Canis lupus familiaris: one gene and its partners. The protein of the gene in region 2 purifies or fractionates together with the protein of the main gene of each other region. This does not show direct contact. Links are inferred from orthologs where the notes say so. Each region holds a gene or a part of one and is shown on either strand. Other genes may lie near its edges.

What was found. Proteins that work in one complex are often made in the same cells at the same time.
Region 1: the proteins of TBL1XR1 (region 2) and SMARCC2 fractionate together in Homo sapiens (co-fractionation; 3 studies listed by BioGRID, with this or other methods). This does not show direct contact. The link is inferred for Canis lupus familiaris from reciprocal best matches to the Homo sapiens genes TBL1XR1 and SMARCC2.
Region 3: the proteins of TBL1XR1 (region 2) and BAG2 purify together in Homo sapiens (affinity purification with mass spectrometry; 3 studies listed by BioGRID and IntAct, with this or other methods). This does not show direct contact. The link is inferred for Canis lupus familiaris from reciprocal best matches to the Homo sapiens genes TBL1XR1 and BAG2.

What each region holds. Positions count from the first base shown.
Region 1 is NC_049231.1:853,918-858,237, forward strand, and holds the start of SMARCC2 (SWI/SNF complex subunit SMARCC2), read right to left. Parts: upstream 2,812-4,320; 5' UTR 2,748-2,811; coding exon 2,637-2,747; intron 2,247-2,636; exon of another isoform or gene 2,219-2,246; coding exon of another isoform or gene 2,129-2,218; intron 1,891-2,128; exon of another isoform or gene 1,778-1,890; intron 876-1,777; coding exon 756-875; intron 1-755. UniProt on the Homo sapiens protein: Involved in transcriptional activation and repression of select genes by chromatin remodeling (alteration of DNA-nucleosome topology).
Region 2 is NC_049255.1:40,838,859-40,842,418, reverse strand, and holds part of TBL1XR1 (F-box-like/WD repeat-containing protein TBL1XR1), read left to right. Parts: intron 1-2,665; coding exon 2,666-2,787; intron 2,788-2,928; coding exon 2,929-3,003; intron 3,004-3,560. UniProt on the Homo sapiens protein: F-box-like protein involved in the recruitment of the ubiquitin/19S proteasome complex to nuclear receptor-regulated transcription units. Plays an essential role in transcription activation mediated by nuclear receptors.
Region 3 is NC_049233.1:24,621,769-24,625,812, reverse strand, and holds the start of BAG2 (BAG family molecular chaperone regulator 2), read right to left. Parts: upstream 2,812-4,044; 5' UTR 2,697-2,811; coding exon 2,584-2,696; intron 1-2,583. UniProt on the Homo sapiens protein: Co-chaperone for HSP70 and HSC70 chaperone proteins. Acts as a nucleotide-exchange factor (NEF) promoting the release of ADP from the HSP70 and HSC70 proteins thereby triggering client/substrate protein release.

The DNA of each region.
Region 1 (4,320 bases), on a different chromosome or scaffold from region 2:
ACCTCGCTGAGCACGGAGCCCCATGCAGGGCTTGATCCCATAGCCCTGAGTTCGAGATCTCAGCCAAAATTGAGTTGGGAGGCCCAACCGACTGAACCACCCAGGTGCCCCCAAAGGTGGAATTCTTTAACCCTTATGCCACAGTATCACGTGGCCTGGAAGAAGGGGGAAAGAAAAAAACCAGTATTCACAAAGCCCCATCTTGTGCCACGTACTTACTGGGTCACCTCATTGACCATTACAGAAACCCTACAAGGTAGAGATATTATTCCCATCTAGAGATGAAAAACAGACACTTAAAAGGTTTAAATGGCTTGCCCAAGATCACAGAGATACCAAGTGGCAGAGCCAGGATTTGAACACAAGCCAATGCAAATCCCAATCTTGTACCCTTTCAACCATGCCACAAGAGTTTCATGTACGAGCTCAGACATATAACCTGTTGAATAAAGTTTTTTTTTCTTTTTTAAGAAGAATAGAGATTTTAAGAAGTCTCTACACGCAACACCAAATTCACAACCCCCAGATCAAGAGTAGCACACTGCAGCGACTCAGCCAGTCAGGTGCACCTCGCTGCACCAAGTATTACTAAGACAAAGGGAGGAGTAAATTGGGGACCAAGGCAAGCCAGTAACGCCCTGACCAGGAATGGGGATAACAGGCAATTACCCACATCTCCAAAAGTATGAGATTTACAAAAACCCCACAGTTCCCTCTCCAGTTTGGAGGATTCATCCCCTTGCATTTGCACTCACCGGCAGTTTAGTGAGCGGCGCATTGCTGACATGTTTGCCAAAAACTTCTTCCTGAAACTGTAGCAACTGTACAACCAGGCTAGACAAGGACTTGTTGGTAGGTGGTTCAGCTTGTATATACTGGGGAAACAGAGGCAAACGGAAGAGAAGTAGACCTCAGACAAACTGTCCACTATCTCCCTTATTTTTTCCCAAGGGGCCCTGGAAGCATCTGGGGTGGAAAAAATAGTGTCTCCTTCCCCCACATGTCTAGTTTCTATAAAGAAAATGGCAGAAGGGAAGGCATCTAAGCCCCTCACCGGAAGCTGAAATTCTGCTGCCCCCAACCCAGCCTGCCAGCAGCCGGTGCTGGAGGCAAGTGGGGCTTCCTACTTGTCAGCTACGTTCTGAAACTGGTTGTTAGTTGTAGGATCCTGATTTCTAGTCAACAGCACTGAGGGCGGTAAGATCCTGAAGGTTCAGTAAATGCAGGCAAAGGAAGCAGTATCTTTGAGGCTCTAAGCCAGACCACAGTGTATTTCTTGGGGGTAACTTTGTGGAGGCCGAGACTCCCCCTGCAACATAGCCTAACAAGAAAGGTGCAAGGAAGTGAGGCACGCCAAACAGACGGAGAGTGCCAGCCGGGCCTTCTGCTTCTGCTAGGAACTGGGCACAAACGCCTTCGAGGGGGCAAGGACCAGCTCCTACCCAGCCTGGTGAGGAAGAGCAAGAAAACATTGATGCTTTCTGAGGAAACAGTATCTGAGACAAGCAACCCCGGGCCTTCTCACGCATTTCCATGTGCCGCTACCTAGTATCCTAGCCTCCTGTTCTAATTTAAATCTGAGCCAGGAGGCTAACTTTCTCTTTACCTTTTGACCCCTGCTTCCTCAACCCTAGTCACAGAGACCAGCGCTCCTCTCAGTGGGAGATGTAGAGAGCGCCTCGCACCAGAGGGTAAGCGACAAAGGGCCGTCAGCCCCCCCATCCCCCCCCCCGCCCCCCGGCCAGAGACTAAGCCCCCGCTCATCTCCCTTCCGGACCTTCCGGAAGGTCAAAGGTGGAGGCCTGGGAGCCGAGGCCTCGCGCTGGGGTGCAGGCGCCCCCGGCCCGGCAGCTGGTTGTCAGGAGCCGCGGGGGAAGGGCCGCGGCCGGGCCGGGGGGCGGACTCCTAAGCGCCCGGCAGCTCCTGACAGGCTGCGGAGCTGGGCAGGAAGAGCCGGGCCGACGGCGAGCCTCCCACCGGGCGGCGCGGGGCGGAGGCCGAGCTGTCCGCGGGCGCAGCCGGGGCGGACGGCCCTCTCGGCCGGGCCCCGAGACAAAGACAGCGCCGGGGGAGGTTCGACGGAAAGTCAGGTAAGGCTTTCTGAGCCCTTTGTTCAGCCGCTTGTCACCTGCAGGCGCGGACGGGGGCTGAGGCAGCAGCGTCCTGGGCCCGGCGCCCCGGACCCGAGCGGTGCGAGGCCAGCGGCCGGGGGCTCCATTGTGAGGTGGCAGGAGGCTGTGCCCGGGGCTGCGAGCTCCCGGCTCCCGTGGGGCGGGCGGCGGGGACAGGTGGGGGGGCGCTGCCGCCCGCGGGCCCGGCCTGCCCGGCGCCTGTTTACCCGCCCGCTCCCACCGCCTCCCGGGCGGACACAAAGCCCGCGGAGGCCTCAGCGCCGCCGGCCCGGCTCGGGGCAGCTCCGGCGGGCGGGCTGGGCCGGGGGCATCCGGCGCCGCGTCCGCCCCCCGCCGCCTCTCCCGGAAGGGCCCGCAGGGCTGTGGCCCCGGGCGGGGGCGGTCGGCGCCGGGACTCGCCGCGCGGCGGCGAGAAACGGGGCCGCGGGGGCCGCGGGGGCCGCGGGGGGCGCGGGCGGCCGCGGCCTTTGTCCCGCCCCCGGCCGCGCGGCCCTGCCCGCGTACCTTCTTGTAGTTCTTGCCGAGCCAGAGCCTCACGTTGTCGAACTGGGTCACGGTGTCCGCGGCCTCGTAGTACTTCACGTTGGGGCCGCCGTCCTTCTTCCGCACCGCCATCTTCTCGGGCTCGGGCCCGCCGCCGCCCGCCCCGCGCCGCTCAGCTCCCGCCTCCTCCGCCTCCTCCTCCGCCCGCCTCCCGCCGCCTCCCGCCGCCGCGGCCGCCGCCTGCCGCCGCCTGGGCCGGCCCGGCCCGCGCAGCGCCCCCTGCCGGCCGCTCGGCCACGGCGGCGGCGCGGCTCCCGACGCGGGGCGCACCCGGCGGCCTCCCCGGCGGCCTCCCCCGCGGCCTCCCCGGCGCGAAGCCTCTCCTCCCGCGGCCTCTCAGCCCAGGGCGCGGGGGGCCGCCCACCCGCCCCAAGCGGACGCCGGAGGGCCCCCCGGCCCTGCCCTCCGGGGAGCCAGGCCGGCCCTGCCCCGCGCTCCCAGTCCCCGAGCCCGCACGGCCCGGGCACCCCGGCCCCCTGCCCAGGAAGCGCCTTGCTCCCATCGCCCGAGCCCCCCACGCCCGGCCAGCCCCCTGCCGCGGTGACCCGAGGAGCCCTCGGCCGCCCCCCGCCGCCCCGGCCGGCCGCTGCCCCCAGCTGGCCCCCCGCAGGCCTCGCCGGCGCCTGGGAGACCCGTCCTCCCGGGGAGGGCCACCCCCGTCCGCCGGGCCCTCCGGGGGCCGCCCGGCTGTCCTCGGAGCGCCGTGGAGGCGGGGGGCCCGGGGGCGCGGCCCCTCCTGTAAGCGCGCGGCGGAGCGCGGTCTGGGGAGTCACGGTGGCCGAGTGGTTAAGGCGTTGGACTCGAAATCCAATGGGGTTTCCCCCGCACAGGTTCGAATCCTGTTCGTGACGGCCGCTTTTTTTCTCGCTCAGGAGGCGTCGAGGGGCCCCGCGCCCGTGCCCCTCGCGCACTCCCCTTCGGCCCGAGGTCTCCCCACGACCGGGCGGGATGCAGGTGAGCGAGGGAAGCCTGCCCTCGCACAGCCGCCGGTCTGCCCGGACGCAAGGCACTTGCCGCGTCCTGGGGCTTCGGGTCTGAGAGCTTTGGCGCACGTTTTCATTCTTGGGGAAACGAATGGCAAAGGATTTGAAGAAGGGTTAGGTTTTTGGAAATGTGGATGCCTGTTGTGCTAGGATACTCAAAACTAGAGTTTCCAGGAAAAGAGGGCACCTCTGGATTTCATGACCGGAAGTCTGGTTGTAATTGAGCCCCAAGAAAAGGCATGGTCTCATTTGATGTGAGGAGGCGCCTCTCGGTGTTTCCAGGGCTAGGAGGACAGCCTGTTGGAACGTCAACACTGCAGCCCGAGCTGGAGCTGGAGCGCGGCAGAGAACACCCCGAATGTGTGTTTTTACCGAATGCTCCTTATGTGCCAAGCACTGTTCTAAATTCTCCGTGTATTAACCAAGCTAGGGAATTAATTCCCTCTTTAACCTCTAACCCTCCTGTTCTCCCCCGGTTAGAGGTTAGAGGGGAATGATACTTGTTGGGGATGTTCTTTTGGTGTTTCATTTCTTGCACAGCATCATCTTCTCCAAGAAGGATCAGGGAGCTCAAGAGTAATTCACATTTACTTGAGTAGTTCAAGAGCTTTCTATGCATCTGTACCTTGCAGTTTCCCACTTTCTTACCCTGAGATCATCCT
Region 2 (3,560 bases):
TATCTTGTATAAAATGAGACCAGTAATAGTGAACACAACTCTCACATATCACTTACATAAAAAATGCATTTTGTTGTGAGATGTAAATTCTTTTTTTTTTTTTTAAGTTTATTAAGTAATCTCTACACCCATCCGGGGGCTCAGACTAAGAACCCCGAGATCAAGAGTCCCATGCTCTTCCAGCTGAGCCAGCCAGGCACCCCATAGAGATGTATTTCTTTCCTAATGAATTTGCATTACCTAGACTCATTTTATTTTAGGAGTAAACAAAAGGTAAGGAGGTAGGTGTTCTTCGATTATACCAATCTTGTAACCATTGTATTTTATGAGCCAGGGATATCACAAAGCATAAATCCTACAACTCATGCTGAAGCACTCCCCAGCTTCCCCCAGTTAGCTTCACTGGGCCACACAGTTTATTTTTGTGTCATTCTGAACCTAATGGTGTATTTGTTTGAATGCCACGTTCTTTTCTCAGCCTCCCATCTCATATTCTGCGGACAGCTCTAAATTAATATCCGGATACATCATGACAGACACTTGCCATTCTTTGTGACATTTTGTCATACCTTTACTTGTTCTCTGAGTTTATTAGATTTTTCAGGCTTACACACACACACACACACACACACACACACGTGCGCTTAACACTAGAATCAACTATTTATCAAGTAAATATTTTGTTAAAATTATTTTTGAAATGGTATCTTACGTAATAGTAATGTAATGTCAAAATGAACCTGGTAGCTACTGAGTCAGATTCCAGGCATGAAAACAGAATCTAAACCAGGTAGTCGAGAAGCGGGAATTTAATCGGAGGAAACAGCTGCAGAGGTGTTGGAAGAGTGCGAACCAGAGGACTGTGGGTAACTGGGTCGGAGGGGAACAGCCGCAGACAGCCGGCCTCTGGAGGAGGCAGGAGCCAGCTGCCCAGCGGGAGCTCGAGCCGGAGAAGGCGGCCTGCCCGGCGTTGCGGGCACCCTGGCGGCGGCCGCTGCCCGAGGCCCCGGCTCCGGGGAGATGAGCGCACAGGCTTCTCTGTTTCTCGGGACCGTGGCTCTCGCGGTCTGTGTCCACCTGGAGCCCCGTGGGCCCGGGATGCGGAGTCCGTGTGCGGAGCTATCAGGGCAGGGTGGCGAGGGGTGGCCCTGAGGGCAAGCAGGCGACACGCGCACAGTCACCAGCCTGCACCCGAGGTGACGCCGGTCCGCCCAGCTTTGAGCCGGGGGTTGTTAGGGACGCACCCGCCCGCAGCGGCTGCTGCTGGTGGGCTTCGGCCGGCTGGGTACCGGGTGCTCTCCGCGCGCAGCCCACACTCCGGGTCTCAACCTTCACTCTTTCCCCCAAACCCGGCTCCGTGCCACGCGCGCTGGGTGCCACCCTCAGGCTTGGGGGCGGCGGGGCCCCCGATGGCAGGGAACGCTCCCGCAGCAGCCCATGGGCCGGCCAGGCACCGAGTGGCGTGGACAGCCCGTGACCGTTACGCGTGGATTCACACGGCGGGGTGGCGGGCGTGCCCCTCCCGTGGGCCTCAGTGGGGTCCGCCTTACCTAGTGCTTCGTAGCCCTCACCCCCCCGCCCCCACTTTCCTCCTGGGCTCCGAGCGGGACGTGCCGGGGCTGGTGCGGCCCCCCCGGGAGCGCAGGGCCACCGCCATCTGGGACCGTGAGCGCAGCCAGGGCCTCCCAACACCTCGTGACATGGATACGAGAATCCGAGTCTTGTGTGATGTTCACACTCCTAGGCCTTTTGATCACGTGTCATCTCGGATCCACAGCCGAACGGACATGACAGCGACTGGGCTGGTGGGCCACAGGCCCCCCGCCGCTCCAGGTCTGGGGTGGCTTACCCCGCTTACTTGCCGTCATTCCCCTATCTGCGTTCCTAATTATAGAGCGCCTTTGCACCTTGCAGCCTGGGGAAACGGGAAGAATCTCCAGTCATATCAGAGCTAACATGGGTATTAATAGCCTGCCAGCTTTTGGGCGTCTGAGGGTTTTAAATTCAATGACACGGATTTTAGCAGTTATTTGACAAGAATGACTTAGAAGAAAATGTATTTGCGACCCTATACAATATTGCACTTATCAGTTGGGTGGATATGGAAATTATTCAGTATAACGTCTGTCTAACTTGCAATTTACAAAGTACTTTTCACACACATCTTGATCTTCACAATATCCTTGTGTACTAAGCCTAAAGGTTTTATTCCCCCTTTTTATAGATGGGGAAACCAGCATGAAAGGTTAAATGACTCGCTTGGGGTCCAGCGGTTAGGGAGTGGCCGACTGAAGCCCCCGTGCCCATCAAATACTCGAGGAATTTTAGAAATAAAAGGAAGTATGACATCACGTTTAAATGTTTACGAACGCGACGCTAAGGATCCAGTCCTGGTAACTCATGGAGCAAGCGCTCAGGAGCCCTCACCTCCTGTGTTACTTCCTTAGGCTGTGGCTCACATAGAGACACCCGAACTGAAATTTATTAGTGTTTGTGATATTTAGATCATCATTTTTAAAATTCAATTAGTATTTTAAAGATCATAAAGTAAGATGTTTAAGTTCCTATTAGCATACTGAAATGCCCAAGCGTGATTTAGAACTAAAGCTCCTAGATTTCAGTGCTTGTGGAATGAAGGCAAACCTGTAGCCCTTTTCCTTTTCAGCTCCGGCACTGGATGTTGATTGGCAGAGCAACAACACCTTTGCTTCTTGTAGTACAGATATGTGCATTCATGTCTGTAAATTAGGACAAGACAGACCTATCAAAACATTCCAGGGACACACGGTGAGTAACCTTCTTTTCGCCCTTGAAAGTGGTTATGATGACTAAGTGATACAGCAGGTGGCTTTCAGGGATGTGTGTTTAATGTCCAAAGAGCAACGCAGTCTGTACCGTGAAAATGTGACTGTGCCCTGTTCTCTTTAGAATGAAGTAAATGCTATCAAATGGGACCCAACTGGCAATCTTCTGGCCTCCTGTTCTGATGACATGACTTTGAAGGTAATTGAAACAGTGGGGTTGAAGTGGCAGTGGCCGTGTCCTGAAGAAGGGCTGCTCTGGCCATTTTTAGATTCTCGAGAGCATCTGTCCTAGCGTCCATTCGACGCCTTAACCGGGATCAGGATTCACTCTACTTTTTAATAGTCAATCGTTATTTATTTGTTTTGCTTAGTATTCCCAGTGTTTAGATATAGCAAAAAGAACGCTTGGTGGGAATTGTGGCACTAAGAAACATGCTGTCTGCACTTCTCGAAGGTCATATACTGGTGCGGTTCAAGTTCTATTTGCACGTGTGAAAATTTGACAAGTAACAGATCTTCGTCGCATTCATGGATTTTACCGAAATTCTGTGGATTGTGTTAATTTGATTCTGTGGTGTGAATATATATCATCCTTGCTGGGAAGCTGGGCTGTAGCACAGCATTGCTTAGTTGCTGAGTGGGTCTAGCTGACATGCCTGCATCCACAGCTCGACATGAATTTATGTTTTTCTTGTCAGTGTGACTAGAGACAAAACTACCACCTTGCATGTGTGCACCTCACATTTAGGAACAAAA
Region 3 (4,044 bases), on a different chromosome or scaffold from region 2:
GAAAAGAGGTGGAGTCAAGAAAGAGGCTAGTGTCATGGTAAAGTATTAGAAACAAATGGAATTCCTTCAACAATATAGAATGCTGCCATACGTGATTAAAAAATCATGCCCACCATTAGGCATAAAGCATTTAGCATAATTCTGTCTTTAGTCTCATATGGAAGAAGGTCTACCACAAGTGATAAAATCAGTTGGGGAACTATATGCAAACTTTAAGTATCAAACTACAGTGTTTTATTCTACCTAAAACAATGCTTTATGAGTCATCCTTAATATGAAATTGAACTATTAGAGCAAAATTACCTATTTGTTTCTTTTACAAAGCTTCTAGGCATGATGCTAGTTTTTAACAATGTGGGGTTCTGTGACACTGCCCATGTAGTTTCAAAGGAACTTTAACGGATCATTAGTATTTTTCTTTATTTTTACTATTTTTACTACCTTTTAAAACACTTCCTTAGATCACAATTACTTTTTACAAATTTTAATTATTTTTTAAAAACTCAATTTCACTTTTTTATTTTATTTTTTAAAGATTTTATTTATGTATTCATGAGAAACACACAGAGAAAGGGAGAGGCAGAGACACAGGCAGAGGGAGAAGCAGGCTCCAAGCAGGGAACCAGACATGGGACTTGATCCGGAGGCTCCAGGATCAGGCCCTGGGCTGAAGGTGGCGCTAAACCGCTGAGCCACCTGGGCTGCCCTACATTTTTTTTTTTTTTTTTTAAAGGAAGAAACAAAGCTTACAAAAGTCTTAAAACTACTAAAGAAGTCCTTAAAATGAGCAATTAGCACATTTTAGTCTTTCCTCCTCAGCTCAAGGGTTAATTAAGCAAGTCATAATCTAATCACTGGTATAATAATCAGTTCACTTTACATTAATCAAACATTAGAATATACGAATACTCAAAACCAGAGGCCTTCTTTTAAAGATGAGTACCTGACTGCTTTTGTGTCTATCAGACACGAGATGTTCATTCAAGTTTGAGGGGAATGACTCAGCTTGAAGAAGGGAGGGGCAACGTTCCTCATTCCTTTCAGAAAAAAATCTTTTCTGATAGTGCCAAGAGAGCCCTGAAATGCTTCGGAACACATCAAAGTTCTAAACACCTGGGGAGATGTGTAAGTTACTTGTAATGTGCTGCTACACCAAAAGAAATATTATTCTTTGGGGCGACATTAAGTAGCTGAAGCCACCGATCTCTAGTTTTGTTCCACTTTCTCTGGGGAGTAAATGCATCAAGCTCAACCCAGGGGAAGCATTACTTTTTCTCTGGTTCCATATGTGTCATTCTGGGCAGAACCCTAGAAGGTGGTTTTGGACTGCGGTTTCTCTATCTGTTGTCATCCACAAAATCGTTGTGGATGGAGAATTTCTCATTTTCCGACTCTTCTCTCAGGGTAATAATAATAATCATAAATGCCTCAACTGCTGAGATATATTGTGGTTATTAATGCACTGTCCTGGCAAATAAACCCCTCTTCTTGCTTTGGTATATAAATTGAGGGAGATAGACATGCACGCGCTGCTTCTTAAAATTTTTGGCTGACGTGCTTCCTTGCTCACCCAGAACCCGATGAAAACTACGGGGGGGGGGGGGGGAGGAGGGGGGAAGAATCGGTATGGCCTCAGGGGTTTGTGGAGTCTTAGTAAGATTTTGACTTATCTACACCTGCACACCATTTACACAGTAACTTTGGTGACAAACTCTTAGAGGAAGTACGTGAAAGTTTTTTCAGACGCTGTTAAGGGAAACAATAATTTCCAAAATTTGCTGTTCGTTATTTAGAAATTGTATACAAGCCTAAGTTAAGGGGGGGAGGGGGAAGAGTAAAAAAAAAAAAAAAAACCTATCTTATGCTTTCAGGCCAATGACTAGCACTTTCGAGAAGGTGTCTTCTAAGGAAGGAGGTACACAATAAATAGCGAGAAACTAACAGAATTTCTGAATTCAGTTTGCGGGGTTAGGGGGGAAATGGAAGCCGCAGGGTCTTCCTCCACCAAGTGCCCAGCCGCCGTTCACCCCGCGGCCCCTCATCTGTCCTACTCCTCCCTCTTCTTGCTCTCAGACAGATTTCTAGATTTTTACTGTTTTTTTCTCTCTCTCTGTGTTTTGGAGCAAAGAAACTTATCAGTCACATGGGGTGGGGGGAACCCCTGAACTATCGCCTTTCCTACAGATGCGTAGTAGAAAAAGAGAAGTTAGAGACATCTGGGGGGAACCACATAGCGGCACTCAGAAAATTCTAGACCTTCAGTAGACCCGGGGTGTCACGGGGTGTCACGGTCTCTAACCTCAGAGAACGCCACCGTAACTCTTACCTTCTGTGATCCTCTCAGTTCCCCACAGCCCAGGTCTGTTCAGGAGAATGCGGCCACCCTTCCCGCGCTCACAGGCTCTCGCTTGGGTCGAACGCGCTTTCTCTGGCGCGGAGGCGGCGGCCCCCCGAGCCGGGCGGCAGCGCACGGTCCCCGCGGGGAACAAATCTCAGGCGAGCAACTTCTCCGGCCGCGGCCCGCCCGCCGCGCACGCGCCCCCCGCCCTGCCGCCCGCCCGCCCGCCCGCCCGCGCCGCTCACCTGAGCTCCAGCTGGTCCAGGCTCTCCAGCAGGCGGCTGGAGCGGTCCGCCATGGAGGAGGAGCGGCAGAAGCGCCCCTCGTTGGCTTTCGCGTTGATCTTGGCCTGAGCCATCTGAGCCTCCGAGGCGGGGGCGGCCAAGAGGTCACCGGCCTCTCGGGCGACGTTGAGTGGAGAGTCCGGCGGCCGCAGGCGTCGCCGTCACCGCGCGGGGCGCCCGCCCCCCTCTGACGCCCGCTGGGGGGCGGCCCGGGAGGACGCGCCGACACCGCCGCTGCCGCGTGGCCAAACAAGGACAAGCGCGCCGCCCGCCGGGCTGGGGGCTGCGGTGCCCGCGGGAGGGCGCTGGCCTCGGGGCCTCGAGGGTGGGCCGCCCGGGCCGAGGCCAGAGGAGACGCGCCCCGCGGCCTCCGAGGCACCTGGAGGGGCGGGCGCGGGCAGGGGGCCTCACGTGACCGCCGGATCTCTCTCTCTCTCTCTCTCCCCCTCTGTCCCGACCCTAGAACGACCGAAAGCCCAGCGGAGACCCACGGAACAGCCCCCTCCCCGCCCCCGGGAACCGGGACTCCGTGCGGCCTGAACGTAACCACCTCCCCCCCCACGGAGGTACCTGACGGTAGGCTGTGGGTAATGACCGGGGCCGGCTTCGCTCACTTTCTCCCAGCGCCCATCATTCGTGTCAGAACCCAAACCATTAAAAATCCTTTGATATGGGAAGAAAAGGATAGCACTTAAGTACAGCTCCCAGGCAGTCTGGGCTTGCCTCAGCTTGTTACCAGTCCCTTTTCTGAGGTGGAAATAATGAAAGCCTGGACACCACTACTGAGGCTTACAGGGGAAAAAAGAAAAAGCTATCCCATCTTTCTTTGACACCCAACTTATTTAAATCTCCTGTAATTTAAAAAAACGTGGCACGTTACTGGGGCATATACTATAAAGGTCAGTAAGAGCAGGACTGGGAGCACAGGTTTATGTACTTAAAAACTTGCGCTTTGCTCTCATGTCGTTATAGCTGTACGCCTTATATTGCAAGGATGAGAATGAACTGCGCGCATAAAATGATAATAACACTTTAAAGCTGAATCACAACCTTTTTATCTGAGATCAAAGCCATTTAACTACTTGAACGGAGACAGGGCCTTCAGCCTGGATCCCAGTTCCCTCTGAATTCAATCTACATACTAATAAACTATTTGTGTAAGGTATTATTTGACTTCATTAAATATATTTTGTCATTATCAGGACACAGACTTGGAATCCAAAGATATGCTGGGAATGGTTTGAAAGTCTATCATGTACTTTTAGAATTATCTTGGATTCTTTTTCTCTCTTATCCTACAGATCCAATCCCTAAGTAAATCCCCTCAGCTCTACTTTTAGAATATACTAGGATTCTTCTCCCCAGTTCCACTGCTACCACTCTGGTCCCAACCACCATCAATTTTCACCTGCATTTCTACAA